Tamandua tetradactyla: one gene and its partners. The protein of the gene in region 3 purifies or fractionates together with the protein of the main gene of each other region. This does not show direct contact. Links are inferred from orthologs where the notes say so. Each region holds a gene or a part of one and is shown on either strand. Other genes may lie near its edges. The genes, in order: PPP6R3, PPP6C, ANKRD28 and PPP6R1.

Region 1 (7,583 bases), on a different chromosome or scaffold from region 3:
CATCCCTGGCCTCTACCTTCTAGATACCAGTAGTACCCCCTTCCCCAGTCAACCCGAAATGTCTCCAGACATTGCCAAATGTTCCCTGAGGGACAAAATACCCCCAGCTGAGAAATGCTGATCTAAAGTAAACTTAAAAATCAACCATCTGAGGTTCTCTTTAGGAAAAAAATGTGAAAGCTACTTTAAGCCAAGAATCTATGTGTATATTTTTCAGTAAATCCTCACTCAAGAAACAGCAGCTAACATTACCAGCCCACCCTGGACACTCTCAGACCTTGAGGACCAAACCACAGATTCTTGTGTTTTATATGACATAAAATCAATGCTGAGTTTTAGATGAGAGGAACTTCATTATCAATATCATTAAGTCTTAAGTGTAGAAAAATATTGTCAAATTTTAGACCAATATATACACAGGCTGCCTCTCAAATATCCAAAATACAAAGCTAGAAGATTCAAGCTTATCACAGAAACAAACTCAATGCTGATACTGACACATACTCTGCTTTATCAATAATAAGCACATTATCCTTGTACCTACCAAACAGAAGCAAAAAATCATCTTAAAGAAGCAAAGAAAACCTCACAGTGCCAAATCTTAATTCTATTACTATCCATTTCCTATCCAGCTATAGCAATTCTCAATGAGTGAAAGGAAACTACCAAGTTTTTGGTGTTTTGCTAAACTTTACACAAAAGAAGCTAAAGCTTTCTAAACCTAAAACAACCTTCTTCCTATTCTTAAGTTACACGACAAAGATTCTCATCTCTACTTAAAAATAAGTCTATCTACATATACTTCCCCAGTGCAATAAAGCAAGTCAGGTCCCAAACAAGTAATACCAAGAAAGGAAAGCATGGTTTGAGTACCACAGCTGGAGAAGAGCAAAGAAATAAAAGATGGTGAGTGTGACCTGGCGGATGACATTTTGTTAAATATTCTAGACTCCCTGATCAGACATACTGAAACGCAAAAGAGCTTTCAAAGCATCCACTACCAAGGACAACAGTTATTTTCCCAAACTTCTTCAGTGAAGTATATCTCAATATACAGTACCTTTTCAACATCTTAGCTGTTTTAATTCAAACCTCAATAACAAAGTACATGAGTACACTGAGAAACTCCGGAGTTATTTATTTGGGGCCAAATGCTGACTTACTAATCACACCCAAATAGTACCCACAAGCACATGAAGAACAGGGTCCTACTCAAGTTTTTGATGGGCTTTTCTGTATTTAACCACCTCTTAGACAAAACATTCTGAGACACCACCACAAATTACTCCAACAAAAGTATGTTATTTGATGACTCTTCAACCACCCTCAACCCTGAAAATAAAAACAACTTCTAGTTCCTCTTCTCAGACCCAACTGTCTCTTAATTACACAAAGCTTTCTAACGAGAGTCACCAGTCATCAAGAGCAAGGGCTTAACCATTCATCTCACTTCCTAACAGTATCTCAGTATTTAAAAATCAAATTGAAATTATTAACAATAGCCATTAATTACCGGGTTGCTCTCTGTGTGTCAAGCACCGTTCTACCTGCTTTACCTAAAATACATTAGCTCACTCCTGACAACCCTGAGGTGGACACCATTATTCCCATATTACAGAAGCAGAGGTTGAGTAACTTGCCCAAGGTCACAGAGCTAGAAAGTGGTCAAGCCAAGCTCTGAATCCAGACAATCTAACTCCACAGCGAAAGAAGCTCAGACACCACCACTAACTAATCAAACACTCGCCAGCGGTTGGACATCTGGGCTCCCTTTCCCAGTGGTTACCTGCCTGCCTCATGACCTTGAGGGCAAAATCAAAGTTAACGTCCCATTAATAAAATGGGACAGTACGAACAATAACAAGTGCTGTGACGATGCGAAGAAACTACAGCGTCCCTCCCATAAAAGCAACGCATAAACAACTCTATCCGACCCCCAGAGAAGATGTGCAGTAACCGGGGAAATGACGTTAAGTTACGAGGCTGGGGCGTCAGGTCCCAGAGCTCTATACCCAAAGACTCGTGGGTCCACCTGCAAACTACAAGTCCAAGTGGCAACCGAGGCAAGCAGGATCTCGAGCGAAGAAAGTTCCCCGCGAATGGGCTTCTTTAAGAGGGAGGTACTTCAGGCCACATGAAGGACCACCCCCCTCGCTCATATTCGCCAGGGAAGCTTTGGCGACCAGGTCGCCGTTCGAGTCACAACACCGGAGTTAAAAATCACTTGGAAGGGGACGTTAAACACTCCGAACTGGTTTTTGTGTCTTTCGATGACTCTGCGGCGAATTAACAGAAGCCCACAAAACTTGTTTCCCGGAGCACAGAGTCCAACAATGGCCGTCGCGAATCTTCACAGCGAGCTGCTGCCTCAACTTGACACGCTCCCGGGGGCCCGCACCGCGAAAAGTTCTCCGGGAGCCCGCGGCCGGGGAGACCCGGGGGGAGGGAAAGACGGCCGGTGCCTCCCGACCCTGCGCCGGGCTCTGGGCGGCGGGGCGGACAAGCGGAGCTCGGAGCCCGGTGAGGGGCGCGCCGCCGCCGGCCGCCGCTCAAGGCCGCGAACGTCAAGGCGGGCGCAAAGTTCGCCTCCCCGGCCCGCGTCCCGCCCCCGGCGCCCGGCCCGCAGGGGCCCCGGGGCGCGCGGCGGGCCAGCCGGGCGGCTGACAGCGACGGACGGGCGGGCGCGGGCCCGGACAGGAGGACTGGCCGCCGCGCCTCCCGGGCCCGCGGAGCGAGCGGATTCCGGGGGGGAGGGGAAGAGGGGCCGGGACGCTCCCTCCCCGCGCAGCCCAGGCCCCGGCGGAAGGCCCCGCGCGCCCGCCTGCGCGCCCGGCGCGCCCGGCGCCGCGGCCCGCCCCGTCGTCTCCCCCCCGGTTACCTGGAGGTGCCCACGACCCGCCGCTAGTTGCGCTCAGGCGGGAAACGCGCTCACCGACACCATCAGCGAAGCGCCCAAAATGGCGGACGTATCAAGCAGGCCTTGAGCTCCCCCCGCCCTCCCTCCGGACGCCTCACGGCCAATCGCAGCCCTGCCCCCGCCCCCGGCTCTACGCGCATTGGTCTCGCACTCCTGCCCCCTGCAGCCTATTGGGTCACCCAGCGGCTCCGCGGCGTCCACTCCGATTGGCTCGCGGTCGCCGTCAGTCAGGCTCGGGGAGCGCATTCTTTTCCCATGGACTTGACGCATCCGGAACCTTTAGGACCCCGGGGTCTGGCTGGAGAAACAAATCAGAAACCAGGAGAAACCCGGCGGGGTCCCCCTGTGCCGTAGCAACAGCGGGCCTCCACTTGACGGACGCTTCTGACCACCAATCCTGTAGGCAGTGCTCTTTAAGACGAAATTGAGCCAAACCAATCATGACCGTGGAACTGGAGCTTCAGGGGAACCAATGGGAGAACGGGCCGGCAGGCGGGGCTTCGTGAGGACGCCGCTGATGACGTTTCCCGCAATGTGTTGCCCGGCGACAAAAGCACCCCCGAGCGGGGGAATTAGCTCAAATGGTAGAGCGCTCGCTTAGCATGCGAGAGGTAGCGGGATCGATGCCCGCATTCTCCACATCCAAACGCTTTTTTTTTTTTTTTTTCCAGGGAGCTTCCCCGAAATCCTGAAGTACCCCGTCCAATCTTCATCTCCTCAGTAACGGAGTAGAGCAGCTCTTCCAGAAACGAGGGCGAAGCGACGAAAAGGGTTCTTGGCATGTCCCTTTTGTCTCCCAAAACGCTCGTCCGGGTGACCCCTGACCCCGCATGTCACCGCCAGTTCCCTCGCTGCGAGACCTCCTCGACTTCGGGACCCCGCCCCGTGCCCACCGCGAGAACGGGGTCGGCGCACCGGCAGGAGGGCCGGAGCTCGAGGTGGGCGATGAAAGGCGGGACAAGGTGCAGGAAGCCCTGGGGCTCCGTCCGGCGCCGAATTGCACCCCAGGTGGTGTCCCGGAGGAGGCTGGTGCGGGGGCGCCTTCCCGAGCACCGTGCTCAGAGCCAGGCGGCCTGGGGCGCTGGGGGGCTGGGGGGCGCGTGGCGGGGCCCTGCCGAGGAAGGAGGGAGGAGCCTGTGCACAGAGACCCCAAGGGGGGCTTTGGCGCCCTCGTGGAGGTGGGCCTGGGGGGAAGGACATGGCAAGACGAAGAGGTGGCAGGGGTGGGCGACAAGGCCGGGTCCCGGGGAGGGGGTGTGCTACAGAACTTGCCATTACGTTCAGAAGACCCCAATAGTCTCCAGTGCCCAGACCTCAGGGGCCTGGGAGCCCCGTAGTGCTGGCTGGGTCAGGGGTGGCCGGTGCCTGCTGTGAGCTCCTCCAAGCTGCCCCCAGGAATTCAGGCCTGGGAAACGGGGCAGAGCTCGGCCAGGGGGCGGGGACAGGACCTGTCCAGCAGGGCACCTGGCTGCACCCTGGATCTCCTATCCCTGCAGCTCGACGCCTCTCTGCGCCTCTCCCCACCCTTTGCAGGGGGGGCCTCAGCTGGCCTGAGTTCTCTCCTCCTCCTTAGTCAGACCTTCAGGGACCCGCTGCCAACCTGCAGGGAGAAACGGGCCGATTTGGGTTGGGTCAGCCCCCCCACACACACACACACACACACACACAAACACACACACACACACACACACACACCTGGGGTGGGGAAGCTGGGGTTCTGGTGCAAACGTGACCTCCTCCCCAGCCCAGCTCGCCCCTTCAGCAGAGCCTGCGGCTAGAGGCAGGGTTCACTGCTGGCAGCCTCAGAACAGTTTTCTCATCCCCGCTTTACAGATGATTAACTAAGGCCCAGAAGCATTTGAACACCCTAACCCTTACTGGCTGGACGACTTGCCGGGTAACCTGACTGCCCTGACTCACCTGGGAAGTACAGTGGCGACACCTTCCAGCCTGAGTCTGCCCTGAAGGGTGCTAGACCTCGAGGAGGGTGGAGGGTGGGGCGGGTGGGCAGTCTCCCAGGCTGAATGCTAGAGTCCTGATCCTACTGCTCAGAGAGGTCCCAGGGCCAGAGGGGGCAGCCCAGACTGAAACCCATTTCTGGGCACGAGGAAGGGAGGGCCACAGAGGGAAAACAAGAGCACAGCACCCGGGGAGGGGGTGTCACAAGATTGAGGGGAAAGGATGTGAAGCAGGTCAGGAGCAAATCATGGAGGTCTTGGATGACAGGTTAAGGAACTCGGGTTTTATGCCGGGACAGTGGGAGCCAGGGAAAGTTTCAGAGCAGGAGAGGTGTATTCAGGACCACCTGAATACTTTAGAAAGGAGGGATTGGAGCAAGAGGGGCGTGCTGCAGGAATCCAGGCAAGAGGGGCTGGGGCTGGGAGCCCTGGGACAGGGTTGGTGCCTGAGAAGGAGGCTGAGCCAGGTCTACCCCGCCCTCTTGGGGAGCCTGTGGAGACTTCTGCCACCCTCTGATCCTTTTATTCATTCATCATCAAAGGCTTTGCCAGCACCTGCTGTGAGCCTCCCCATCCCAGATTCTGAGGTGAGTCACGGGGCCACGTGCACTATAATTAAACCGCAGTACTTCACCCAAGGAAACGTCTCCAGTCACGGTGGGCTTCCAACCTAACCAGAGGGGTTGAGGTGAGGGAGGGCTTCCTGGAGGGAGAGGCATGTGAGGGTAGCTTGTCCCTTGAGCACCGTGGCGAACCGCAGGAAGTGATTTTGCAGCTCTGCATTGTATCCAGACTGGCCTCCCCATCCTAGAATCCACCTTCCCAGACTTCTAGATTTCAAAGGTCACCAGTTTTGCCCTTTTCCCCCAATGGTCTTATGGGTTAACTTTTAATACTTAAGTTTTCAATCCTGGACTTTTTAAAAAAGTATATAAAAATTGGCCAATACATTCAGAAGTAGGGAGAAGAGTATAATGAATGCCTTGTATCCAACAATTACATTTGGGGACAAATATAGAACAACCAAATTTCAATTCTATCAAGTAATGATAAAAAGACCATATCAGTTTCGCAGGGCTGCTGCCACAAATCACCAAAAACTTGGTAGCTTAAAATAACAGAAATGTATTCTGTAACAGTTCTGAAGCCAGAAATCCAGGAGTGGGTAGGGCTGAAGAGCCTGCTTCTGTCTCTCTCCAGGCTTCTGGTGGCTGCCAGCACTCCTTCGCTTTCCTTGGCTTGTAGACACATCACTTCAGTCTCTGTCTCCATCTGTCTCTGTGTCTTCTCTTTTGTCTCTTAAAATGACACGCCATTGGACCGGGGGCCCACCCAGTTAATCCAGAATGAACTTCTCGTGACATCTTTAGCTTAATTTTATCTGCACAGACCATTTTTCCAAATAAGGTCACACTCACAGAATCTGGGAGGGCATATCTTTTGCGGGGGGGGGGGGGGGGGGGGGAGGATACGAATTCCACTTATTATTGCCATGATTTCATAAAAGACATCTTAACACACACTCAGGAGTGACTAGCTCACTAACTTCTTTTCTGCTTTCACCAGGGCAGCATCCACCCCAGGCTAGCACTGGTCCGCCGGCTGGCGTGGGGGACCTCGTGGCAGAAGACGTGTCCTAAAAAGGGCCAAGGCTGGTGTCCAGCAGCCCAGCTCCTGGCTGGTGCTGGGTTGGGTCGAGAGGCGATGCGGTGGAGAGAAGGGGACAGCTGGGGGCTCTAGTGAGCTATGAAGCTTTGACACATTTGAACATGGACATGGAACCCTTCTGTTTCTTTTCCTTTTCTTCCCTGCATTGAGATTCAGCCTGGGGTGGGAAGGAGGTGAGTATTTTCCTCTACCAAGGGATGGGGGGTAGATGGAAAGGCTGGGGGTGCTGAGGACCAGGGTTACCAGTGAGCTTACGGGGTAAGAAAAGGAAAGAGGGCCCATGGGTGAAGAGAAGTAAAGGCGTGAGACTCTGGAGGAGGAGCGAGAGAAGAGGAGCCAGCTAGGGCTTCCTTGGCGGGCTCTCTGCCCCTCCATCTGAGGCTGTGTTCAGCAGAGACCCCATGCTGTGAAGAGCCAGCTGGAGAGTCTGCAAGGAGCCCTACAGGGGCTGGATGGGATCCAAGCCCCCACCCACCTTCCCTTCCACCCAGGTTTCCCAGGGGTAGGATGCTCCCCCACCCCCACCCCATCACCCATGTCCTGGCTCCCCCAACAGCCACGTGGGTTTTGTCCCACAGTCCGGGGGTCCTACCTCAGTGTCCCAGGGGAGCTGTAGGCCCAGTGGGGGCTGCTGGACCCAGGGCAGGGAGGGAGCCCCCATAGCCATCCTGGAACAAGGATTAGAGGAGGGTACAGCTGAGCCACTGGCGGGGAGGGGGTCCATTACACAAGGGACACCCCACAGGGCTTGAGTGGTGGCCAGTTAATTTAACCTCATTTAAGGCACAGCTCAGGCATCGCCTCCTCCAGGAAGCCCTCCTGCCTTCCCGGCTGCACTCAACGCCCACTCTGGGAAGTTGCAAGTGCTATTCTTTCCCCACCAGTTTGGAAACCGAGTCGGCCTCAATCCCTGGATTTAGAGCAGCATTGAGGGAGGGCTGTGTCTGACTAATCTTACAAGTGACGTAAGCAAGGGCTCTGTACACCACAGATGCCTATGTAAACTGGCCGATTTATTTGGCACCTGGTAGGAGGCCAGG
Region 2 (7,848 bases), on a different chromosome or scaffold from region 3:
AAAAGGTTATACTTTGTCCACTCATTTTTACATATTTCATTCTTATTCCTTCAAAGAAAGTAGATTCAATCCAGTAACTAGTGATCTGATCACTTTCAATTTAAACAGAGATCTGGGCCACAGTGGCTCAGCAGGCAGAGTTCTCGCCTGCCATACTGGAGACAGGGGTTCGATTTCTGGTACTCGCCCATGCAAAAAAAAAAAACCAAATACTCAAATACAGAGACCTCCTGATTAGATCCAAAACATCTTATGCATTTACTATCTGATCTAGTACCTCCAACGTCTAGTCAATTTAAGATTAACATGGGTATAGACTGCATGTGTGTGAAGATTTCTCAATAAAAATACTTTTTAAAAAACAAAAACTAACATGGGTAACTTCCTGTTACCTTCTTTTCTACCAAAACAACTTTCTTCCACTATGGTCATTAGGTGGCCCCAATGGTCTCTTTTCTTCCTCTGAAATAACCTTTTATTTGGGCTTTAAAACCTCTGAAAAGGTGCCACTGCAATACTTTCCTGGCCTACTTTATTTTAGTTTGCACTTCATGCCAAGGAACAGAAACAAAATTAAATTTCTTTAAACACACCAGAGATGAGCAGCACAAGTAACCTCATAAAAACAGTTTTAAGACATAGAAGGAAAGCTCTAATTAAACAGAAAAATAACTTTTTTCTCAGTAGTTTTCCAGATCAAGAAGTTTATTAAGAAACAGATAAAAACCACAGTTCAGCTGTATTTTAAGCAGAAACGAAATGACTTAATAACTATATTTCCTTAAAATGGAAAGGGAATCTAATGTTTATCCATCTAAGAGGCCTGAAGAAACTTCAACTGATTATTTTTCAAATCATTTCAGTACTCAGTTTCAACTCAATATCAAGACACCTTTTCATAAGAACAAGCGACATTTTATTATTCATAAAATAAAACTCAAAACAACTTCACAGAGCACACAAGCAGGTTCGGAGGTCTCCAGCCATGTGGGAGACCTGGGTTTGATTCTTGGTCCATGTCCATGTGTATACACGTGCACAAACACAAACGCACACCAGGGGGAAAAAAACAGCTTCTCATATGATAGATAAAAAGAAAACAAAATATCATCTCAATTCATTGATATGCAATTATCAACTTCACCTATGGGATTAACAACTGTACCAAACAGGTCTGGTAAATTTCCATGAATTGGGTCCCAATGTTGGTTGTGTTCTTGTCTCATGAAAAAGTACATAGCAGAAAGAAGCCACACAAAAAATAAAATTAAATAAATAAATAAAATCACATGGCTAATATATTAAAAAAAGAAATCAAACCACAAAACTAATATCTGAAGGATTCTAAGAGCACGAAAGCTACATTACTACTACTATTTCTCTGTCCTCATTTAAATTAATTTATTCTATTAAAAAGGGGAAATGCACAAGAGAGATTTTTCTATCATACAACACATATAATCAACATGTAACCATTCAGTTACATTCACAACAGCACAAGTGACCTTAACCATTTGGAATACTTCTTGACTAAGGCAGGTTAAGTATCAACTTCCTGGACAAGACAGGAAAACAAAAAAGCAAGTATCTCCTCCTTAAGAGAAAATATTCACAGAACAAAGTAAATTACCTTAAACTCAGATTAAACACTAAGCGGAACTGTCAACAGTTTACCCACTCACCACATAATATAAAAGTTTACTGAAGTAAAACAGGCACTTGCCCTACACGGTAAACACTTGCAGACATCTAAGCATTGCTTTTAGCAAGCACACAGAAACACTTCTTTAAAAAGCTGTATACCGGGCGAGCCACAGTGGCTCAATGGCAGAATTCTCGCCTGCCATGCAGGAGACCCGGGTTCGAGTCTCGACGCCTGCCCACGCAAGGAAGAAAAAAAAAAGCTGTACACCAATTCATGCAAACATTTCTGTTAATAGGGCTTGCAGCAACAAGGAAAAACACACCACCTCTAAAAACCAAGAAAGTGGAAACTTGAGGTAAGAAGGGAGGAACGACTTAAAGAGTAGAGAAATATGTGTACTTATTGAGGGCCTACTACTTTATCGACTTAAATTTAACTCAACATATAACCCAGAAAGGGGATTCACATCCGAATTAAAACAACCAAACCAACATTACAAACCCGCAATTCGGGAGGATGGTGAGGAGAGAGGGATGACCTGATGTTCTCCCATATCACTACCAAACCGTTTGGGCCATCGTCTTCCGATGCTTCAGAAACCTAAACACACCAGGGCCGCGTTCTGGGACGCAGGCGGCATCTCCTGTCAGACGCCGGCCACCCGGAGCTCCAATCTATTCTGTTCGAGACGACCCCCTCCCAAGAACACTAGGCCTGGGGCTTGGTTTGGATTATGGGAGACCCGGAAGTAGGAGGAGGAGAGGGGTCTTATAACTAGCGCAGTCAGGGCTCGGAGTCCGATAGCCAGGAGGGGCAACTCTGGGGCAGAGGCCGCGACATCCCTGCGGATCCCCACTGAAGAAAACTGAACAGCATTCCTGAGACGCAGGCTCGCTCGGCTCCCCGCGTAACACCAGGTCGAACCTGCTCACTCTGCGCCCTGCTGGACCCTCCACAGCAAGGGTCCCGCCGAGGGAGGAAAGGAGGACCGGAGGGCCCACTACTGCCGGACGAGGCGAGTCCAGCAAGCAGGACGCCCGCTTCAACGAGCTCACCTTTAGGTCGTTCTCTGGCAGGTACTTGCATAGCCGCGCTATTTCCACATACTTGTCCAAGTCTAGTGGCGCCATTTTAGAAGTACAAACCGCAGCGGCGGCGGCGGCGGCTGTAGATGTTGTAGCGGCGGCAGCGGCGGATGCCGAAGCCGGAACTCTTCCTACGTCACGTCCGGCCCATGAGAGGCGTCTGCGCAGCAAAGTTAAAGCTTGACTCGATTCTCTTGGCTCCCTCCGTGCGCCTTACGCCCTCTTTGGCTGAACCCGGGCTGCAGGCCCTTCGGGGCCGCGGCGGGTAGGGGGAGGGAGGAGGGCCTCCGGTCGGCGAACGATACCTGCTGGGACCCATAGTTGTCGTCGCGGGACTTGCTGGGACTTGTAGTGTGCTTTCGCGGCCAGCTACTCTTTTTTTTTTTCCTTTCCTTCCCTTCCCTCCTTCGGGATTTTCACTTCGAGGAACCCAACGAGGTTTTTCGGATGCAAAACGCAGTTTCCGACCCTTTTCACCACTCTCTGTTTCACCTTGAAGTCACTTTAAAATTGGGGCCCCCAGACTATGATAACCTGCTTACACTTTTCAAAGGCCTTGTGAAAACTTTGCCTACATCTTAGATTGTATATATTATTGAATAAAAATTTTAGAAATCCATGGATCTGCACAACAAAAACAACCACCACCAAATCTGTGGCAGAGATGTCAGGCTTCCAATCTTTCTGCCCGGAAGGAAGGGGGAAAATATCCAGACATTTCTTATGCAAAATGCTTTATAAATGCTGTTAAATCAATTCTCATCACATTTAATTCATAGGAAACCGAGAGCTTAAAGTAACTTGTCCAAAATTGCTCAGGGAATAAGCGGTGGGGCCAAAATGGAAAAATAAGTCTGGCTGGTTTAAGCATACTTAAATGTGAGTCCCACGGGGCATAGATTTTCTCGTTGTATCCCTTGCGCCAAGAACAGTACTTGGCATATTGCATGCCTTTAATATTCATTCATTTAACAACTGTTTATTGCACATCAGCTGTGTTTCAAGTATGATCGTAAGGGTTTAGGGTAGTTAGCAAATAAAATAGCAAAACTCCCTACCCTCAAAATGGATTTACGGTCTAGCAGAGGAAGACAACATAAACATTAAACATAATAAATAACCATATAGAATGTGCACGGATGGTTCAGTGGTAGAATGCTCGCCTTTCATGCGGGAGATCAGGGTTTGATTCCCGGACCATGCGCCCAAAAAATAACAAAAATAACCATATTATTAGAAAGTGATTTTTATTAAAAAAAAAAAAAAAAGGATTAAGGAGATAGGGTAATGTATTAAAAAAAAAAAAAAAAAGCTGGGGAATTAACCGCACAGATACCTGAGGGAATTGATCAGCAAGAGCAGATGTGGAGTCCTCAATAGGAAGTGCTAAGACAGGAGCGCTTCCAGAGTCTTTAGAAAATACAAGACTGGAGAGCTATTATAGAATTTTGAGTGGAGTTGAAATATGTTCTAAATTGTTCTAAAAGAATCACTCTGGTTCTGTATGGGGTAAGGCAGAGGAAATGGTTGCAGCTGAGAGACCTGTTGGGATATTGTTAGAAAATCCAATAATAGCTGACACTCTCCTCTTGCTCTAACATGTATTTGGGGGACAATTGGCAAAACTTTAATGAGGTCTCTGGGGGACGTGCTTTGTTCTATTCTTGTAATTGTTCTGTAAATTTGAAATTGTATCAAAATAAAATTAATTTAAAAAATAAGTTTGTTGCAGAGTTAATGCCTCCCACAAGCATTCATTTCTTCATTATTCAACAAAGAGGTATATAGTACCTATGATGTGAATAAGACAGATGTAAGACAACTAGGGAGCTTACAGTCTGATGGGGAAACAAAAAAAATGTAAATTAGCAAATATTTAATTGCAAAATGTGATTGGTACTGACTTCAGGGAAAATGGCCAAATAGACTAGCTCGAGCTTAGCCCTGATCCATGGAAAAGTTAGAGAAGGGACAGGAGGGCAACCAAGGTGGCGATTCGAAAGTGTTCCTGACTTGGGAGAGCCTTCTGCACTACATGCAGCAGCCCTGGTTGCAGAGGCCGAGGAACTGAGAGGCAGAAAGCTGGAGCGTGGCTTGGATGCGCAGAGCCACTGAGTCCATGGGTGTGCATGGACAGGAGCCTGGGACTAGGAAGTAAGCCAGGCCGCATTCCTTGGGTGCGCTACCCTCACTGGCGCAGCCCTGTGAACGGCAACTCATCCCACACTCCATGCACCCGAACCCCGTCACCCACTCCCATTCCCCACACTCCAAGCACCCCCACCCCACCAGCTCCCAGTGCACATACATGCCCCACACCCCCAGCCCAAGTGCAGCCCAACCCACCTCTCTTGCACACCTTCCAAGCACTGCCTCCCCCTCACTGTTCCCTGCAGGCTATTGCCAGTGCATAAAGGCTGCAGGCACTAACCTCCACACCTAGGCTACCCCGACCCCCCCACCCATAGTGTTGCACAGCCTCACTCCACCCTGCCTAAGCTCTGTGCATCTATTTATGGCACTCGCAGACCCACGCATGCGCACGAACCCCCAATCATGTCATTCGGCTCTGGGAACCGCACTTTACAGCAGCCCTAGAACTCCCTATGCGCATGGCCCTCAGCCACATTTCCCAGGTCTGAGAAAATGCTGACCTGAGCAGCCAGGTCATATCAGCCCCCAATCCATGAAGGCATAACGCCAACCACTGCCACAGCTCTACACATGTGTACAAAGGGCCCCGTGCCTTCTTCCAGCACACACCAGGGTTACGCCTCCTGCCCCCCCAGACTGGTGCATCCTCACAGCTATATCCTCCTCAGCTGCTGGGCACCCACGTTCACAAGCATCAGCATAACATCCCCAGCCTGTGCCTATACCTTCCCTGAAACAAATCACCACACAGAGTGCCCACTCCATGCTCTGCTCCCTGCTGTACAACAATCCCATAAACACAAGGCATTAGACTACTGAAGGAAATCAACACCCAAAGTAAATCAATCAAGATATTTACATGCAATGAAGACAGCAGAAGATCATAAAACATATCACAATGCAGATAGATATAGCCCTACCTAATGACCAAATTAAAACACCAGAGGAGACAAAGACACTGGAAAAACTAATCAAAGATGTTCATACAACTCTACTTAATAAAATAAGTGGAATAGCAAATGACATAAAGGAGATCAAGAAGACAGTAGAAGTAGAAGTAGAAAAAGACAGAGCATAAAGAGGAATTTGAAAGAATAAATAGAAAAATAGTGGATGTCACAGAGATTAAGGACTCTGAACAAATGCAAAACATACTAGAGGCACACAACACCAGATCTGAAGAGACAGAAGAAAGAATAGTAGATATAAAGGACAGGATAATTGACTTCAAAGACTCAAAACAGCAAAAGGCAAAAAAGATGGAAATAATTGAATGGGAACTCAGAGAAGCGATAGACAAAACAAGCACACAAATATAAGAATCACTGGTGTCCCAGAAGGAGAAGAGAGGAGTAAAGGGCTAGGAAGGGTGGTTGAGGATATAATGGGGGAAAACTTTCCAACCCTCATAAAGGACACAAATATACAAGTCAAAGAATCCCAAAGAACTCCAAACAGAATAAATCTAATTTTAGGCCTCCCCAAGGCACATACTAATCAGTCAGTCAAATGTTGAAGAGAAGCAGAAAATCTTGAATACAGCAATGGTAAAACAATCTACTGCATACAAGGGAAATCAAATAAGACTGACTTCAGACTATTCAACTAGCACCCTGGAGGTGAGAAGGCAGTGGTATGATATATTCAAAATCCTGAAAAAGAAAGACTTCCAGCCAAGAATTCTATACCCAGCCAAATTGTCCTTCAATTGAGGGAGAGATTAATGTTTTCACAGTCAAAGAAACTGAAAGAATTTGTCAACAAGAGACTGGCCCTACAAGAAATACTAAAAGAAGTTCAGCCGGTTGAAAGAAAAAAAAAACAGGAGAGGGAGGTCTGGAGAAGGGCACAGAATTGAAGAGTACCACTAAGAGTAATTTTTTAAATACAAAGAGAAAGAAGGAAAATAATATATAGATCTGACAAATAAAATAAAAAAGATAGGTGGTGGAATAAAGAAGCACATTTTCAGTAGTAACTTTGAACGTGAAAGAACTACACTTACCAATTAAAAGATACAGATTGAAAGAATAGATTAAGAAACATAATCCAGCTGTATTATGCTTACAAGAGACTCATTTTAGACACAAGGATAAAAAACAGTTTGAGAGGGAAAGAATGGAAAAATATTTTTCATGCAAGTTGTAACCAAAAGAAAGCAGGAGTAGTTGTACTAATACCACACAAAATGGACTTTAAATGTGAAGACACCATAAGAGACAAAAAAGAACACTACATACTAATTAAAGGGCCAATTCACCAAGAAGATATAACAATCATAAATGTTCATGCTCCCAATCAAGGAGATCCAAAGTACATGAGACAGACATTGACAAAACTGAAGGGAGTGATAGAGGTTTCAACAATAATATAGGAGACTTCAATACACCACTCTGCTCTATAGATAGAACAACAAGACAAAAGATCAACAAGGAAATAGAGAAGTTAAATAATTTGATAAATGAATTATAACTAACAGACATATATAGGTCATTGCACCCCAAAGCACAAGGTTATACGTTCTTCTCTAGTGCTCAATGAACATTCTCTAGGATAGATCATATGCTGGGGCACAAAACAGGTCTCTATAAATTTAAAATATTGAAATTATTCAAAGCACTTTCTCTGATCACAATGGGATGACGCTGGATCTCAATAACCACCAAAGAACGAGAAAATTCACAAATATATGGAGATTAAATAACACACTCTTAAACAACCAATGGGTCAAAGAAGAAATTGCTAGAGAAATCAGCAACTATCTGGAGATGAATGAGAATGAGAATATAACTTGTCAGAACTTATGGGATATGGTAAAGGCTATGCTGAAAGGGAAATTTATTGCCCTAAATGCCTATATTAAAAAGCACGAAAGAGCAAAAAATGAGGACTTAACAGCACAGCTGGAAGAACTTGAAAAAGAACAGTAAACTAACCCCAAAGCAAATAGGGAAAGAGAAATAA
Region 3 (7,966 bases):
TATCCTTCAGAAATGACAGAGTCTGGGTGCAGGAGTAGTTCGATGGTAGATTTCTCACCTCACTTGCAGGAGAACTGGGTTTGATTCCCAGCTCATGCACTTCCCCAAAAAACAAACAAGCAAACAAACAAATTCAACAAAGGGTGCTGCAATAATGGGATACTCAATAGAAAAAGAATGAAGTGTGACCAAGGACATACAGCATACAGAAAAAAAAAAGGTGTAATTAACACAGATAAACAAAAGCTGAAAGAGTTAACTACCAGAATACCTGCCCTATAAGAAAATGCTAAAGGGTGTCCTATAGGCTGAATAAAAGAACACTATGATGTAACTTAAAGCCATAAGAATAAGTAGAGAACTTTGGTAAAGATGACTACATAAGTAAATATAAAATCCTCTGTTACTGTACGTTGGATTTGTAACTGCTTTTTCCCCTCTTTATGACCTAACAGGCAAATATGAAAAAAAAATTAGAAATTTATGTTAATGGCCATACAATGTCTAAAGATGTTATCTGAGACAGTAATATGAAGGGGGAGGGATGGAGATATATCGAAGTCGAAAGTTTGTATACTAATTTTGAGAACTTTTTAGAAATGGAAGGGGCTTCCAGGTGGAAGCAGAAATAGAGGGCAAAATGTCTTTCCTCTGTTGTAAATGGATTTCTAGCTTTCAGGAGTGGATTTTCTTTTGAATGAGGATTCAGTTTATTTGATTCAGTGGAACACAGGAGCCTCAGTTTATCATCCTCTGCCTCGCTTGGTGTCAAAATGATGAACAAATGCAAATCTGTATCAGTATCTACAGAAAAGTTCAATGATAGAAATCCTTGACAAGGATAGGCACATGAAGAGGCAGGTAGAAGATTGCTTCTAAAGAGGGCATGATACCCTGCTTTCCTGCCAGCTAAAATGTTTTTCCAGCCCCCAGGCTTGCCACATCCCCAAACAGATAATTCACTGTAAATGCAGCCATAATAGTGACTAGGATGGATCTCAACTCACTGACCTGGGATTCCTCCATGCCTGGGAGGAAAAAGTAGGAAAAGGGTAAGAATAAAGTGGAATAAAGGAAATTAAACTGAACTTTTCAAACACATTAATACTTGAGCACTTTATAATTAATATAAGGTATGACCATAAGTATCTGTGTTTTTGTTGTACATACTGTTAGGTAGGAGACAGCTCAATTTTAGTAGGGCTACAGTCATTTAAAATGGTTGTTCAAATTAGGTTAAATAATGTCAGCATAAGATGGATTAATGATGGTAGGTGATTTTGAGATTTGAAAAACAATGAAAATTTACTAATATGTTCTAGAAGAAAAAAAACTTTAATTTGGCTTGAAAAGTAATTACCTGAAGAAAAACCACATCCTCTATGCTATTTCCCTAACTGAAAAAAAAAGTTGAACTTAAGAATTTGCACAATCTTTGTCAGTAACTTTTCATTCAAAGTATTTTTTTTCATTCCTTAGTTTTTAAAATATTTGTTTACTTGTCTCTTTTCAAGATGTGAATTTTTTGAGACTAGAAATCCTGTCTTAAGTCAGTACATGTTAACAAGATATGAAGCAGTGCTGTACTGTAGAACAAACTTAAATAGTAAAAAATGTTGTAGTATTTAACTCAGTATTTTTCTTATCTGACTTTGATTATATATCATGGGCCAATACTTTAGATTCTTCTCTTTCCCCACCCTATAAAATAGGAGGAATATGGAAAAATGGAAAAAACCTGTTTACTGTTCCCTCCCCCCAGTAATACTTAAACTCTTGGCTGGTTACTGGAGTCTTTAAGACCAGCTTCTAGCAGTTTCTCAAGAGGTCTCTGAAAAGTGTGGGTACTTAGCAACTGAATCCCTAGATAGCAGTCTGAATGCCTCATGGGTTATGGGAAGCGGCAGGGGTGGGTGTTGAGTTCAGTAGCCCTTTATCTACTGGTTTCACAAGGGCTAGTATTGTTTATCCATCCTGAATATCCTTAGTAAGATTATTTTGTTGAACGTTCAAAGTAACACTGTGATATATATTCTGTTAATGTCATCTAATAGATGTTTAAATGAGGCATGGAGAAGTTAAATATTTGTCCAAGGTCACACAATTTACTGTGAAGCCTTTATTAGAATCCAGGTAGTATGTCTACAAAGACTACATTTTCACTCGATATACTATTACATATTATTCCTTGATAAAATCTCTGGGGATTATTAATCATTCTTGTAAGTGTGAAGAAACTAGGCTAAGGGAATTTAAATAGCTTGTCCAAGGACAACAGCTAGTAAATTTTGAAGTCAGAATTTGAGCTCCAGGTAGATGAGTGAGCCCTTAATTTTTAACCATTATTTATATCATTGATTTACATTTGATCAACTTCTAAATTTTAAGATGCTCACTTACTAGAGATAGAAATTTCATTTTGTTGCACCTTAATGCCATCTATGTTTTCTCATTTAAGTACATATATGCACCTTGAAAAAAATTTGCATGTTGGTCTTTTTAATCTGCCACTCTATTGTAGAGTCTTGTGTCAGAGTATATTTGAGTGAAATTATTACATATGGCAGAAATTGGAAGGAAACTGTGTATATAATACAATTCCTGCCTTCAAATATCTTGCTCTGTGGTTGGAAGAGACCTAAGTATTAAAGTTGACCTAGAGCAAGAAACAGGATACTACCTGTTTTAAGTCTGAGTATGTGAACTTAAGCGCTGATATTTTGGAATAAGTTCAAATTCTACATGTAAAAAGAGATTTAGTTTTGAGGGTGAAAAACCCTTGAAGAGGAAATATAGAATATTGTTGATAGAATGGCTTCATTTTCAGGTATAGCAAATAATTAAGATACTGTTTTTGATTCAGCCATTTGGGGGATAGCTAACTTCATTTTTGTATGTCAGAATATTTGCATGCCTTTAATTTGGCTTAGACCATTTTATATCTATTATAACTGTGAACTGTTTGCATATTTTAGTACCTTGGTATAGATACATTAGGGTTACAGGTTTTTTCATAGATTGATATTCTGTAGGTTTTGATGATTTTTGTTCTTAAATTCTTTTGTTCTTATCTGTATACCATGCTCCCACCCTCCCATTCCCCCTTTTATGGTTTTGACAAGTAATCCTACTCAAACATGTGAGTTAAGACTGGTCCTGAAATACCCATCCCCAAAAAAACTTGTTTTAGAGTATAATTGCCATTGATAGCATACTCCTTCATTCCTGGAACTTTTCATAACCATTATAGATTCCCAGTCTTTTAAGATCACTTTTGCAAGCTAGTATTTTAGGTTGCAAAGATGTTGAGTGTGAATATATGTGTACAAAATGGAAGCAAAGTAGATGAGTAAAAGAACAGCTTTACTAGTTTGCATGACTTTGAATAAAATACTTAGTTTCTGAGTATGTTTTTCCCCTATAAAGAATAATAGTGTAAAAGGGAATTTTATAAAGCTTAACAGTAGCTAATTTTTCCTGCTTAATTTAGCTATTTATATATATTTTAGCTTCTGAAATATCCAGCAAAAGCATTTGTGTCATTTTATATTCACGGCTATGCATTTAGTGTGAGTTAAGAATTATAAAGAAAAGAATTATGGGCCCCATCAGGCTGAAGATAAACAATCCTGGCGCCAAGGTTACTTGTTGTAAAACTGTTAAAAAATGCTTATTGTAAAACTGTTCTTATCTGCTTTTTTGCAAAACAGCACCTGTGACCCATGCTCAACCCCCACCCCCCTCATCTTACCCTTTAAAAAGCTTTTGCAGACTTAGGTTCGGGGCTCTCTGTTCATGCGTGTTCAGCGAGCCCCACACATGTGTGGAAAATAAACCCCTTGCGTGTTGCATGAGAGAACGTCTCTTGGAGTCCTCCTTTGCATGGCAAAATTCTCGAATTCTTACAATAGCAAGGTTATTGTATTAAATAAGAATGTATAGCACCTAGCATATGTGTTCAAAAATAGCTATTATGTTTATTAATAAAAATACTAGTTGACAGCAAAATGAACACAGATTGAAGGGGGACCAAGGTATTTTCTGGATTTTTTCTCTTGGAAAGTGCCCCATTATTGGGTAAGCAGATAAAGGTGGGGGTGGAGAGTAGGGATGGCAGTTAGGAGATGGTGGGTTCAGGTACTTATTTGTAGATTTGGGAAGATTATTTTGTGAGGGAGAGAGATTTTTTTGCTTTCTTCTTTTTTTTAATGATTCTTTGTTTTTATTGCATTAACCTGTGCCCTTTTGACATGCAGATAATCTAGAACCAAGAGTTTTAAATACTTGTTTTGTGTGTAGCTGTTTAACAGGTTTTAAAGCATTATTTCATTTTTCAGAAGGAAGATGCAATTAATTTCTTCAGTGAAAATGTGAACGATTCATAGAATTTTAGATAGGATTTCTAATTTTTATTTTTTCAATTTAACAATATGAATTAATGATTAAGTTCAACTATTCAAATATTGTTAGCAAATAGTAAATCTGCCTTGTTTAAACTTCTGTGGGTTCTTGAAAATAGTGTAACATCTAATAGATTAAAAATGATTTTGGTAAAAAATAAAAAAGTTAAGGTTCTATTCTTACTGTATTTCCCCTTCATCTCTAAATCTCTTTCATGAATTCATTGAGGACCTATTATTGCTGCTGTCATTATAGGGTTAAGTATTTGCTATATTGTAACATACGAAAGCAGTTAGGCTGTTCGGAATTGTTTACTTGCTAAAACCAGTGTTAGTCAGCAGAGGCAGTGCACCAGATTTCCTTGTGGCTTTTAGTGGAAAATGTTAAAAGCGCACTCATTTTTCAGTTATAGAATTTTTCAGTTTGATCTGGATTAGTCACAGAACTGGCATGAACCGTCTGATTGTGAAGGCTGTCCAAATGTACTATTTTTTTTTTCTCCTGCTAGAGGAAGTTACATCCTGAGCAGTGGCTCAGATCTCTGGTAAGTGTAACATGTGAGCATTACTAGGCATTTCATCCTGCGGGTCTGCAGTCCTTTGCTCTTCAGACTGTTGCTCAGTTGGAATGCTTCTTTGGGACCGATCCGAGGTTCTGTACGTATTTTTCAAGGACCCACTCATTTGGGAGTGTCACTGGCGTTTTGCAAGATCATCTAAGAAACAGGAAAGCGTCTGAAATCTACTGAGAGGGATAACTGTAGCGGTTTTCTCAGTGGAAGGAAACTATATTGGCACAGAGGCACATGATTGAATAAAGTAGTTTGTTCAAAGAAGATGCACAGTGTGTTTTTTCCCTCTGAATGAAGACTATTTAATGGATGCTGTATTTATATGGAGATCAAAGAAGACGCTGGAATGATAAGCTACTTTGTTATTTTTATTTTATTCTTTTTTAAATGAAAAGCCTGAAGCAGTAATTTGAGCTCAAATGCCTTCTAATTCCTTTGCAGCCTGCTTATTCTGTTAGGATTCTCCACTAACACCATTTCTCCCTGTTGCCTGTACCCTTTTACTGGAGCAGCTACAGACAACTGCCTGATGAAGAAAGAATGAACACTATGCCTTGCTTATGCTATCGATGGAAATAAAGCCATCTCTGTTTATTCTATTATTTGGGAAATCTGGATTAATCAAGCTGCATTCTAGTACCAAGAGTCCTATTGTCTCTTATAGCCTGACTCATCGCATGTAAATGTACTGCAGTTTTGCTAGTAATGCAGAGTGGTTTTTTCCCCTCCCAAACAGAGAAAGAATTGTCAGCCTCTGAGCGTCATTTTCAGAATTTGTGCTGAGCTCTAGGTGTTTGCTTTTTTTTCTTCCTTTTTCTGGATAGTATCTGCATTAAACCAGTGAAGCCAAAGAAACGAAGACAAATTAGAAGTGGAAACAGAATAGTGAGATTTTATTTTTATTTTCAGTTATAAGAAGGCCAGCTATTGGTAACTGTATGACCTTGCAGACAAGAGTGGGTATAGCCGTGATCATCTCTGTCACAGCAGTTGTTTCTCATTTCATTCTACATCGTGTGGTGGTGTGTCACCAAAACAGTGACCATTTTGTGCAAGTGAATTTCTGTTAGATAAAGCAATATGACTATTTTGGTAGGGGGAAAATATTTTTAAATGAGCTTGTACTGGACTTAGTTTTAGTTACTGACATGTTGATGTGAAATTTCTTTTAAGTATTGCGGTAATCTAATAGTAAATATTAGAATTTTGTTTTTAGGGACTTATAAGTTATATAGTACTTATTAACTTTAAAAAACCAGCTGTGCTGTTCACAGAGAATGTTTTTAAGTGTTGTACAGAAGAGGAGGAAAAACTACTTGTGCCCTTTCAACTGTGACTTTTATCATATAGTTTGGAATTTAGTATTTTAAAAGAGCGAATGAGTCGAGTGTGTATTGTTGTTTTGGAGGAGGTAGAAGATGAATCTCCTGCATTCATTTCTAAATTGCCACAGGAAAATAAATCCCATCATTCTCCATCTTCTGGAAATGTATTGGTAAGATATGTTAGTTTATATGTTTACTATAGCCTACTGAACTATTAGGATAAATTTTTAAAGAATATTATATATTTTCTAATTTTTTCATTATGAATCCAAATTAAAGCAAATATAGGTGTGCAAGTGTGGTGCAGTATTTCTTGTGTATAACATGCACACATTTCTGATTTTTACTTTTGCAGATGCTTAGATAATATTTCAGACTTCACTCTTTTAATCTGTTAAAAGAAGATTTTTAAAAACAATTGGAGAAATAGTAGCCATGGCAACCACGTTTTTGTTTTCATTTTTGTGGTTTTAGAAACTGCTGTAACAAAAATAGGAACTCTGCGTGTTTTAGGAAAGGTTGACTACTACCAGTAAAACAGAAATATAGCCTTTTCAGTATGGATTTTATGTATTTAGATGCAAGAGTTTAAATGAAAGAGAATCAGACTTCATCCTTAACCTTATTTTTAATGCTGTTGTCAGTTGGCTTCTTTTTTGCCCAGTATAATATGATACCTTATCAGAGAGACTGGGTTGTTGATTAGGAAATTATTATATTTAGACATGAATGTGCTTGTCTCTTTGTGTCATTCTGTTGTACAGTATTTTTTTTTGGTCTTTGGATAGTAATTTTCATCAATTGCCAGATTTGCTTTCTTAGAATTTATATTTTTATACTTATAATGGTAACCGACACAAATTATTTTCATGCCCCAAAGAGAACTTTTCAAAGTACTCTATGTATATAATTCATGGGCCTCGGCATAGTTTGAACACTATTTGTTTGATAAGTTTTGTCCCCCTAGTAGATGTTGGGTGTCACATTTGTATTTGAAAGAGACTTTCTTTTTACCAAACATACGTATTTAAAAAACCTTCTAATAAAACAGACTCTGATTGTCCTTTTTTTTTTTGCATAGGCAGGCACCAGAACTCTGGTTGTCTTTATTATACTATTTAAATTTGGTCCAACGGAATTTTTTTTTAATTAAGCCCTCTTTTTTTGCAAAATAACTCCTCTACCTCGCTATGATTTGGCTTCGCAAAACTTTTGATTAATGTAATAAAATGATTGGTGCTACAAGGAAGAAAATTTTTAGATTTAGGAGTTGTGTGAAAATATCTGTAGAATCATCCATGTGTTAAGTGCAACTAATATTTTATTGCTTTCTTATATTTTAGCCATCACTGGTGCAAGCTATATTTAATGGAGATCCTGATGAAGTTCGAGCACTAATATTTAAGAAAGAAGATGTTAACTTTCAGGTAAAACAATTCACTGATACTAGCTTTTAAATCTGCCTTTTAAAACTCTTGGAATTTTGATTTTTGTTTAAAAGTCACAGCACAATTCTTTAACAGTTGTTTTCAGTGCCAGCGAAAGAGTTCTGAGGCAGAAAAGGAAAGAGACTGGACATGTATTCAGGGTGATAATTAAAAGTAAAAGAGTGCTAGAGGCCAATGAGGGTCCTTTATTCTCTAAATTTTTACTTTGAAGTATTTCAAAC
Region 4 (7,102 bases), on a different chromosome or scaffold from region 3:
ACACTGGAGCAGCTAGAAGGAAAAAGGATCGTATAGCAGCCCATGACAAACTCTGCAATCTGTCCTGTAACTATTTGTTGAAGAGTGCTTTGAAAACTTATTGCTTTTTTCTTTCTTTTGCTTTATATATATTTTATACTATACAATCTAAAAAGTGAAAAAAAAAATGAAGGAGGAATTAAGACATTCCCAGATAAACAAAAGCTGAGGGACTTCATCAATACTAGACAGGGGAATTCTACTGGGGGAAAAGACACTAGACAACTGACTGAAGTCATAGGAAGAAATAAAAATCTCCTGTGAGGGTAACGAGGTAAGTAACTAGAAACACCAATACTGTTCTATTTTTTATTTGTAACTCCACTTTTAACTTCCTACAGGATCTAAAAGCCAAATGCCTAAAGTTTAATAAATCAATGGTTTTGATCTCAATGTATAAATAAGTAATTTGTGACAAAATGACATAAAGGTGGGGGAATGGAGGGGTATAGGAACATAGTCTGTGTACACTATTGAAGCTAAACTGGTGTCAATGCAAACAGGATAGTTACAGGTTTACGATGTTAAATTTAAGCCCACGATAACCACACTGAAAACATCAGAGAATATGCAAACTCATAGAGACAAAAAGTAGAGTACAATTTACCAGGGGAGGGTGAAGAGGCAATGGGGAGTTAACGGAAAATGAGTGTAGGGTTTCTGTTTGAGGCGAAAAGGAAGGTCCAGTTATGGATGGAGGGGAAGGTACTGCAACATTGTGAAGGTGACTATTCACACTCTACAGTGTGCTGGGATGGGAGGATCTACGGTATCTATGTGTGTTATATATATCCACAATTAAGAAAAAGAGAAAGTTAAACCAAAGAGATAATGACAATTAAATGCAATACATGATTCTGGATGGGATCTAAGAACAGAGGAGAAAAAGGATCAAAAGGACACTGAGATGTAAGGACAAAAAAAGGAATACAGAACGTAAGCTCTATAGCAGTTTTACGTTTCTTGAATGGGATAACTGCGCTTATGGTGGTTACATAAGTGAACATCCTTGTTCTTAGGAAATGCGCATGACAGTTTTATGTATCCAAGGAGCAGGCGGGCAATCCTGATCTCAACTATCCAGAGAATAGATACATAATCGAGAGAGAGATAACAGAATGATATGGCAAAGGTGGCCAAATGTTAAAATTGGTAGATCTGGGTATCTGGAGGGTGGGGGGGTATGCTGGAGTTCCTGTATAGCGTTTGTATTATTTTTGCAATTGTTCTGTAAATTTGAAATTATTTCAAAATAAAGTTAAGATACATTTAAAAATAAAATGTTTTAGGTGGTAGTGAAAAAAGAAAGACAAAAGCAAATCAAAATACACAAGAATTCACACATCCACACAGCCACTCACTGGAAGCAACAGGACAGTCCAGCCCGAACCAAGCACCATCCAAACAGCCTTCAGGGTCTCTGCACCTGAGCCCCAGGGACGTTTGGGCTGAGTGCTCCTTTGCTGGGGGGTCATCCTGTGCGTTGCAGGACGGGAGCAGCATTCCCGGTTTCTACCCACCAGCGCCAACAGCGCCCTCATGCGGCAAACAAACGTCTCCAGGTATGGCCAGGTGTCCCCAGAGGAGTAGAGCGACCCCAGCTGAGAACAGATGCCATAGGTGATGCCAAGGCAAATGTAATAACCTAACAACTCCGGATTCCTTTCACTTACTGGGCCCTGCATTCTGCCCAGGGCATCCACAAACATGGAACTGATCCACAGAACAACCCTGAGAGGAGGGCCCTCCGTTACCGCCATTCTCCAGATGACAGCTCCTGAGTAACTTGTCCAAGGTCTCACCACCAGACAGCAGAGCTGGGACTCAAACCTAGGTCTGATGAAAAAACATCTCGCTCTAAACCAATGGCCTTCACTGCCTCCCAAAGGTGCCATAAAACACCCAAAATCGAGTCACATGGCCTCATTTAACAGACACAAAATGATGCACATTAGGAAAAAATTAAAAAACAAAAAAACAGAGCATAACTTTTTTAAAATGCAACCAATTCCCACTGCCATTCCCCTCAGTGTCTGTCTCTGGGTGTGGTGGCCTCTGAGACCTGGGTACAGTATTCTACAGAATATGGATGTAAACCACACAGGCTGGATTTTCCAGGCAACTGTGAGTCACTGCAATGTTCACCCTGTGTGCTGGTGATCTGAACCTTACCTGGAGTTGGACAAACTCCCCGCGGAGTCTTCACAGCTCTGAACCCACTATACCACATCTGAAAGCATCTTCCTTTCCAGAAACATCTTGCTTTTTGGGCCAGTGTCAGGGCAACGACTGTGTCCTCAGTGCAGATGTTCAGTGCGTGTCTGTGTGTAAATGCATGTGTGTATGTATGTGCACGTGTCTGTGTGTATATGTATCTACACACACGTATGTGTGTAAAAGAGCTAGCCAGAAACACCCCTACACAGAAAGTCCCACTCAAGGCTCCAGCTTTGACCACTCCCTCCCAACACGTCTGCACTCCAGTGGAGCCGCCCAGTGCTGAACCCCCAACTTGCCCACCTTCACATATCTGCACACGCTGTTCCTTCCACCAGGAATGCCCTTCCTCCCACTCTCCATCTGTCAACTCCAACTCATCCTTCCTAGATAGAGAGAGCCACCGGCCCCGCCAGTCTCCCGGTCCCCAATCTTCTCAGCCTCCTGCGGCACCCTGAGTTACCTCTATCTCAATACCTCATAGCAATTGTGACTGTCCAGCTCTGCCTGTATCTCCCCAGGGACACAGCCCCCTCCAGGGCAGGGCTGGGCAGGATACCTCCCTCTGTGCCCAGCATGAAGCACCTGCCCTGCCCTCGGCAGGCCTCGTCTCACAGACTTGGAACCAGGACTTGGACACCTCCAGACAATCCCAGGTCCTAAACCTCTCCTCCCAAGGAGAAGCCAGAGGCAGCCAGGGGCAGCGGACCCACAGGAAGGGAGAAGGGAAACCCCCGTTCCCCTATCTCCCCAACCCAAGGGTCAGGCAGAGGGCAAACGAGTCCAAGAAGGCAGGAAACAGGGAAGGGTGGGGGTAAGGCAGAGATGGGGGGCAGGAGGAAGAGATGAGGGGGGAAGGGGGAAGAGGGGACTGAGAAGAAAAACACCGTAATAACAGATGAAGGTGCAAAACGGAGGGACTCTTGGGGGGAAGGGGAGGAGCGAGGAGAAAGAGACTGCCGGGGTAAAGCCAAAGGTGGAAGAGAGTGGCGGGTAGGCCGAGGCTACTCTCTAGACTTGGGGGGGGAAGTGATGAGGAGGCGTCCAGGGGAAGAGGGAAGGATTCCAGGGAACAAAGGTGGGGGTGGACCCGAAAGGGAGAAGACTGGGACCCGCGAAGGGTACTTAGGTGGGGCTCGAGGGGGTCCTGGGGGTGGACTGGGCTCTGGAAAAAGGTCCCGGGCTGGGCCGGCTCACCTGCGTGGGGGGGCGGCGGCTCCTCGCACTCGGGGCTCATCGGGGCGCCCCCCTCGCCCCGCCGCCGGCGGCTCCGGCCCCCGCTCAGGGGCCCGGTATGTGGGGGCGGGGGGCGACGTCGGGGTCTCGCGCAGGCACCCTCGGGTCAAAGGGGGACCCCGCGCGCCGAGCGCCGCAGAGTTGCGGGCTGAGCGCAGGCGAGGGGGAAGGACGCGGGGGTCGAGGGCGCGGGGCGGGGGGTTGGCCGGGCCGCGAGGACCCGCGCAGGGGCCTCGGCGGGGCGCGGGGGAAGTCGCCCCAGTCGCTCCGGTCTCCCCGGCCCAGGCCGGCGCCCCGCGGAAACGAAGAGGGCGGGCGGGGAAAACGTCGCCCTCCGGAGTCCCTACAAGCCGCAGAGCCGAGCAGCGGCCAGCGGAAGCCCAGGCCCGCTTCCTTCAGCCGCCCCTTCCCCAAACCGACGGGTCCCGGGAGCCTACTGTCCGCCTCAGGCCTCCGACGCCCGACGCCACGATCCCACAATCCCCTGCGCCGGAGCGCGCAGGACGCCCCGCCTGCCCGCGGCCCTCTCGGTGCGCAGGTGCGGCGGGGCAGCGCGGGCGGATCCTGCAGCCCGCGTGCGCGCGAGGCCCCGGCTCCCCTACCCCGCCCACCCGGAACACCGTCGCGACTGCCTGCGCTTCCTTAAGCCGGGGCTTTGGATCTGCGCCTGCGCCTGCGCCGGCTCGTGCCAACTGTCTCTCCCCAAGTCAACCCAGACGGAGGAATGCGCAGGCGCCGCTGCCCTTCCGGGAGCCAGTTCTACGACTTCATTCCGAAATCCAGTGGAAACCCTGTTCCGGGTTTTCTCTTCCCTCCGGCTCCATTGGGAAGCCCCTTCACCTTTCTCGGTCTTCTGCCGGGAAATCCACTCCGGGTGTTCCCTCATGGCCTCCACCCGCCGCCGCCGCGCCTCGGTCCAGGCGGTGCCTGGCTGTTGCCCGCTGCTGCAAAGACTTCTGGAGCAACATCGACTGCGCGGGCCTCCTAGGCTTAGGGTCAGTGTCCTTTAAGGTCCTGTCTGGCTCCGAGCCTCAGTTTCCCCAGTTGTAATAGAGACAATTAGCCCCGTCCTGCCCACTTAGCAGCTCACTGTAAGCATCAAATGAATAAATGCACTTAAGGACTTAACCCTTTTCTATAAATCTGCATTTTGGGGACATTTTTTGTATTTTATGCATTTTAGTTATTGATTCAGTTTTTCGTTTTTTTTTCAAGAATGCCGGTTATGCATTTGTATTTCACACGCGTTAGCTGGTAATTGCTTTAATCTTTGTCATTTTCATCTGCCTTCACTGTCACTACTATGTCAGTCCTTTGTTTTGCTTTTTTTTAAAGTGGTTTAAAATAACATTTATTATCTTACGTTCTGGAGCTCAGAAGTCCACCATGGGTCTCCAGTGACTCGAGGTGACCGCAGGGCGCATTCCCTACTTGAGGCTTTGGGGGAGAATCCACCTCCTGGCCTTCTCCGGGTTCCAAAAGCCACCTGCATTCCTTGGGTTGAAGCCCCACCCCCATCTTCAAAATCAGAGATGTTGGGCTCAGTTCTTCTCACATTGCCACCTCTCTGGTTCTGTCATTTGACTTTCCAGCCATGTCCCCTTTGGTCCTTGCTATTTCTGGTATGTTTATCACACATGATGTTGTTTTCTCCTTGTATTAGTTAGCTAACGCTGCATGACAACCACAACCTTGGTGGTATTTATTACATTCACAGATGGGACCAAAGGGCTGTCCAAGGTTCCTTTTCAGGAGAGGCAGGAGCCCAAGAGATCAAGCCCAGCTGGAAGCACATTTCACATCTCCCTTTGCCTCACATCTGCCACCATCACTGATCAAAGCAAATCACCTGGCCAAGCCCAAGAAGTATGGGCTGGTGGGCTCCACGTGCCATAGGCAGGGAATGTACTTTTCCCACGAAGGTGGGAGGGGAGGGGGTGAATCTCTGGTGAAAAATCTAACTTACCAGAACTTTAGTTTACTTCCTTGGGTTTGCCATTGTTCCTTTTTTCATCTTTTTTTAAAAATATTTTAAAGGCCTTGTTTCAATAGACCCATGTTCTGATTGCTACACTCTTGAAGCAATTGTGAAGAAATTCCTTCTGTCCTTTGAATCATTTTTTCTTTTGTGTTGCACTCTTCTGTCTTTTACCTATCATTTTCCTTGCTTTTTTCCCTACATATGATTACACAGTTGCCACAGTTTTAACACCCAGGCTCAGGCCATATTCAACCACCAAACAGATGCTGAGGCACCGAGTCTGCCCAACCCAGGAAGCTCCAGGGGCTTTACTGTCTGAAATCTGGGTCTCAGCTCCTGTCAGAACTCACAGGAAGATGTTATTTGCCTAAGAATTGGAGGGAACTTTTAAAACAACAAAAGAGCCCAGGGCTCGGTGTGGGGGACCCCCCACCAGTGGCTCTCTCCTGGCATGTCTCTGCCCCCCTCCCCCCCAGGCTGGGGTCAGCCCTCCAACTTCCTGTCCTCTTGGAGACAGGCTGGCCCCAGAACTCCTGTCCCCTGGCCTCCACTCTGCCACCCATGGGAAGGCTGCTGCTTGCCCAGGGCTGCCTGAGGCAGAAGTGCTGGTCTAATGCTGGTGCAGAGTAGAAGCAACACTCCTCAGCTATGATGTAAATGGCTCAAAAATAAACGAGATGACATTGGATCTCCAACTCTCTGTTCCCACAGCTGCCTCGATTTGTTCTGAATTTGAGAATGGAAGAGAACTGAAATTAACTAAGCCCTCTAAAATCCCAAAAGTATGAGGCAAGTGCTGTATATGCAAAAGTAATGACCTGGCATCAGATGGGGCCAGGAAGCGAGGGCACTGGGGAGGAGCAGGGCTTTGGGATGAGTCCTAGGTTGGAATCCTGGATGCAAGATTCTCGGACTCTGCTTCCTGCAGCAGGGCCCTTAGTTGCATCAACAGAAACCTACTTTAGGCAAACAGAAAAGGCAGACAGACCCCCAGATCTCAGAGCAGGTGGAGTTGGGCTTGGCACTTTGCAGCTGGGACACGCAGCAGCCTTGCCTCCACGGGGGGCCTGGGCAGGGACTCGACTGCCCGCCCCTCCACCCTGCCTCAAGGGCCGTGGACTCTGGACAAGCGTCCTTTCCAGGCAGCAGCTGCCGGCGGCAGACCTGTACAGGAGGCTCTGATGCTGGGGGAAAAAACACCTGACCTTAGGAGGCCTGGAAGCCGAAGGTGGGAATTCCCGAAACATAAGAGAATTCAGAGAAGTTGGGGGGCAGGGAGAAGGTTAGATGTGCCTGCACCCCATCCCAGAGAGGCTGGAAAGGTGAAGTGAGGCAATGGCTCTGTGGGTGGTAGGAGTAAGAGTTTTATTACCCCAAGCTCCCGAGGCGGCCTTCCTCCCCTCCCTCCCCAGTCTCTCAGGCCCCGGCCCGCACCTCGCCCCTCCACCACTACGCACCCAGAGGAGGTGACAAAGTGGCAGTGGGAGAGGAGCCCCGTCTCTGCTGGAAGAGCAGTGTGGACAAGAGGCTCGGGGTGGGGGGGATGAGCCTGAAAGCAGGAGGTGGGGCCCCTGGAGCCCGGTCCTTTCTCAGCACCCCTCCAGGGGGCTGAGCAGAGACAGGCTGACA

What was found.
Region 1: the proteins of ANKRD28 (region 3) and PPP6R3 purify together in Homo sapiens (co-immunoprecipitation; 3 studies listed by BioGRID and IntAct, with this or other methods). This does not show direct contact. The link is inferred for Tamandua tetradactyla from reciprocal best matches to the Homo sapiens genes ANKRD28 and PPP6R3.
Region 2: the proteins of ANKRD28 (region 3) and PPP6C purify together in Homo sapiens (affinity purification with mass spectrometry; 9 studies listed by BioGRID and IntAct, with this or other methods). This does not show direct contact. The link is inferred for Tamandua tetradactyla from reciprocal best matches to the Homo sapiens genes ANKRD28 and PPP6C.
Region 4: the proteins of ANKRD28 (region 3) and PPP6R1 purify together in Homo sapiens (co-immunoprecipitation; 4 studies listed by BioGRID and IntAct, with this or other methods). This does not show direct contact. The link is inferred for Tamandua tetradactyla from reciprocal best matches to the Homo sapiens genes ANKRD28 and PPP6R1.

What each region holds. Positions count from the first base shown.
Region 1 is NC_135335.1:6,105,069-6,112,651, forward strand, and holds the start of PPP6R3 (serine/threonine-protein phosphatase 6 regulatory subunit 3), read right to left. Parts: upstream 3,006-7,583; 5' UTR 2,879-3,005; intron 1-2,878.
Region 2 is NC_135328.1:47,350,904-47,358,751, forward strand, and holds the start of PPP6C (serine/threonine-protein phosphatase 6 catalytic subunit), read right to left. Parts: upstream 3,007-7,848; 5' UTR 2,776-3,006; coding exon 2,701-2,775; intron 1-2,700.
Region 3 is NC_135341.1:72,721,693-72,729,658, forward strand, and holds the start of ANKRD28 (serine/threonine-protein phosphatase 6 regulatory ankyrin repeat subunit A), read left to right. Parts: upstream 1-4,954; 5' UTR 4,955-6,350; coding exon 6,351-6,467; intron 6,468-7,640; coding exon 7,641-7,724; intron 7,725-7,966. UniProt on the Homo sapiens protein: Regulatory subunit of protein phosphatase 6 (PP6) that may be involved in the recognition of phosphoprotein substrates. Involved in the PP6-mediated dephosphorylation of NFKBIE opposing its degradation in response to TNF-alpha.
Region 4 is NC_135342.1:4,459,927-4,467,028, reverse strand, and holds the start of PPP6R1 (serine/threonine-protein phosphatase 6 regulatory subunit 1), read right to left. Parts: upstream 3,001-7,102; 5' UTR 2,620-3,000; coding exon 2,560-2,619; intron 2,361-2,559; exon of another isoform or gene 2,212-2,360; intron 1,876-2,211; exon of another isoform or gene 1,800-1,875; coding exon of another isoform or gene 1,794-1,799; intron 1-1,793. UniProt on the Homo sapiens protein: Regulatory subunit of protein phosphatase 6 (PP6). May function as a scaffolding PP6 subunit. Involved in the PP6-mediated dephosphorylation of NFKBIE opposing its degradation in response to TNF-alpha.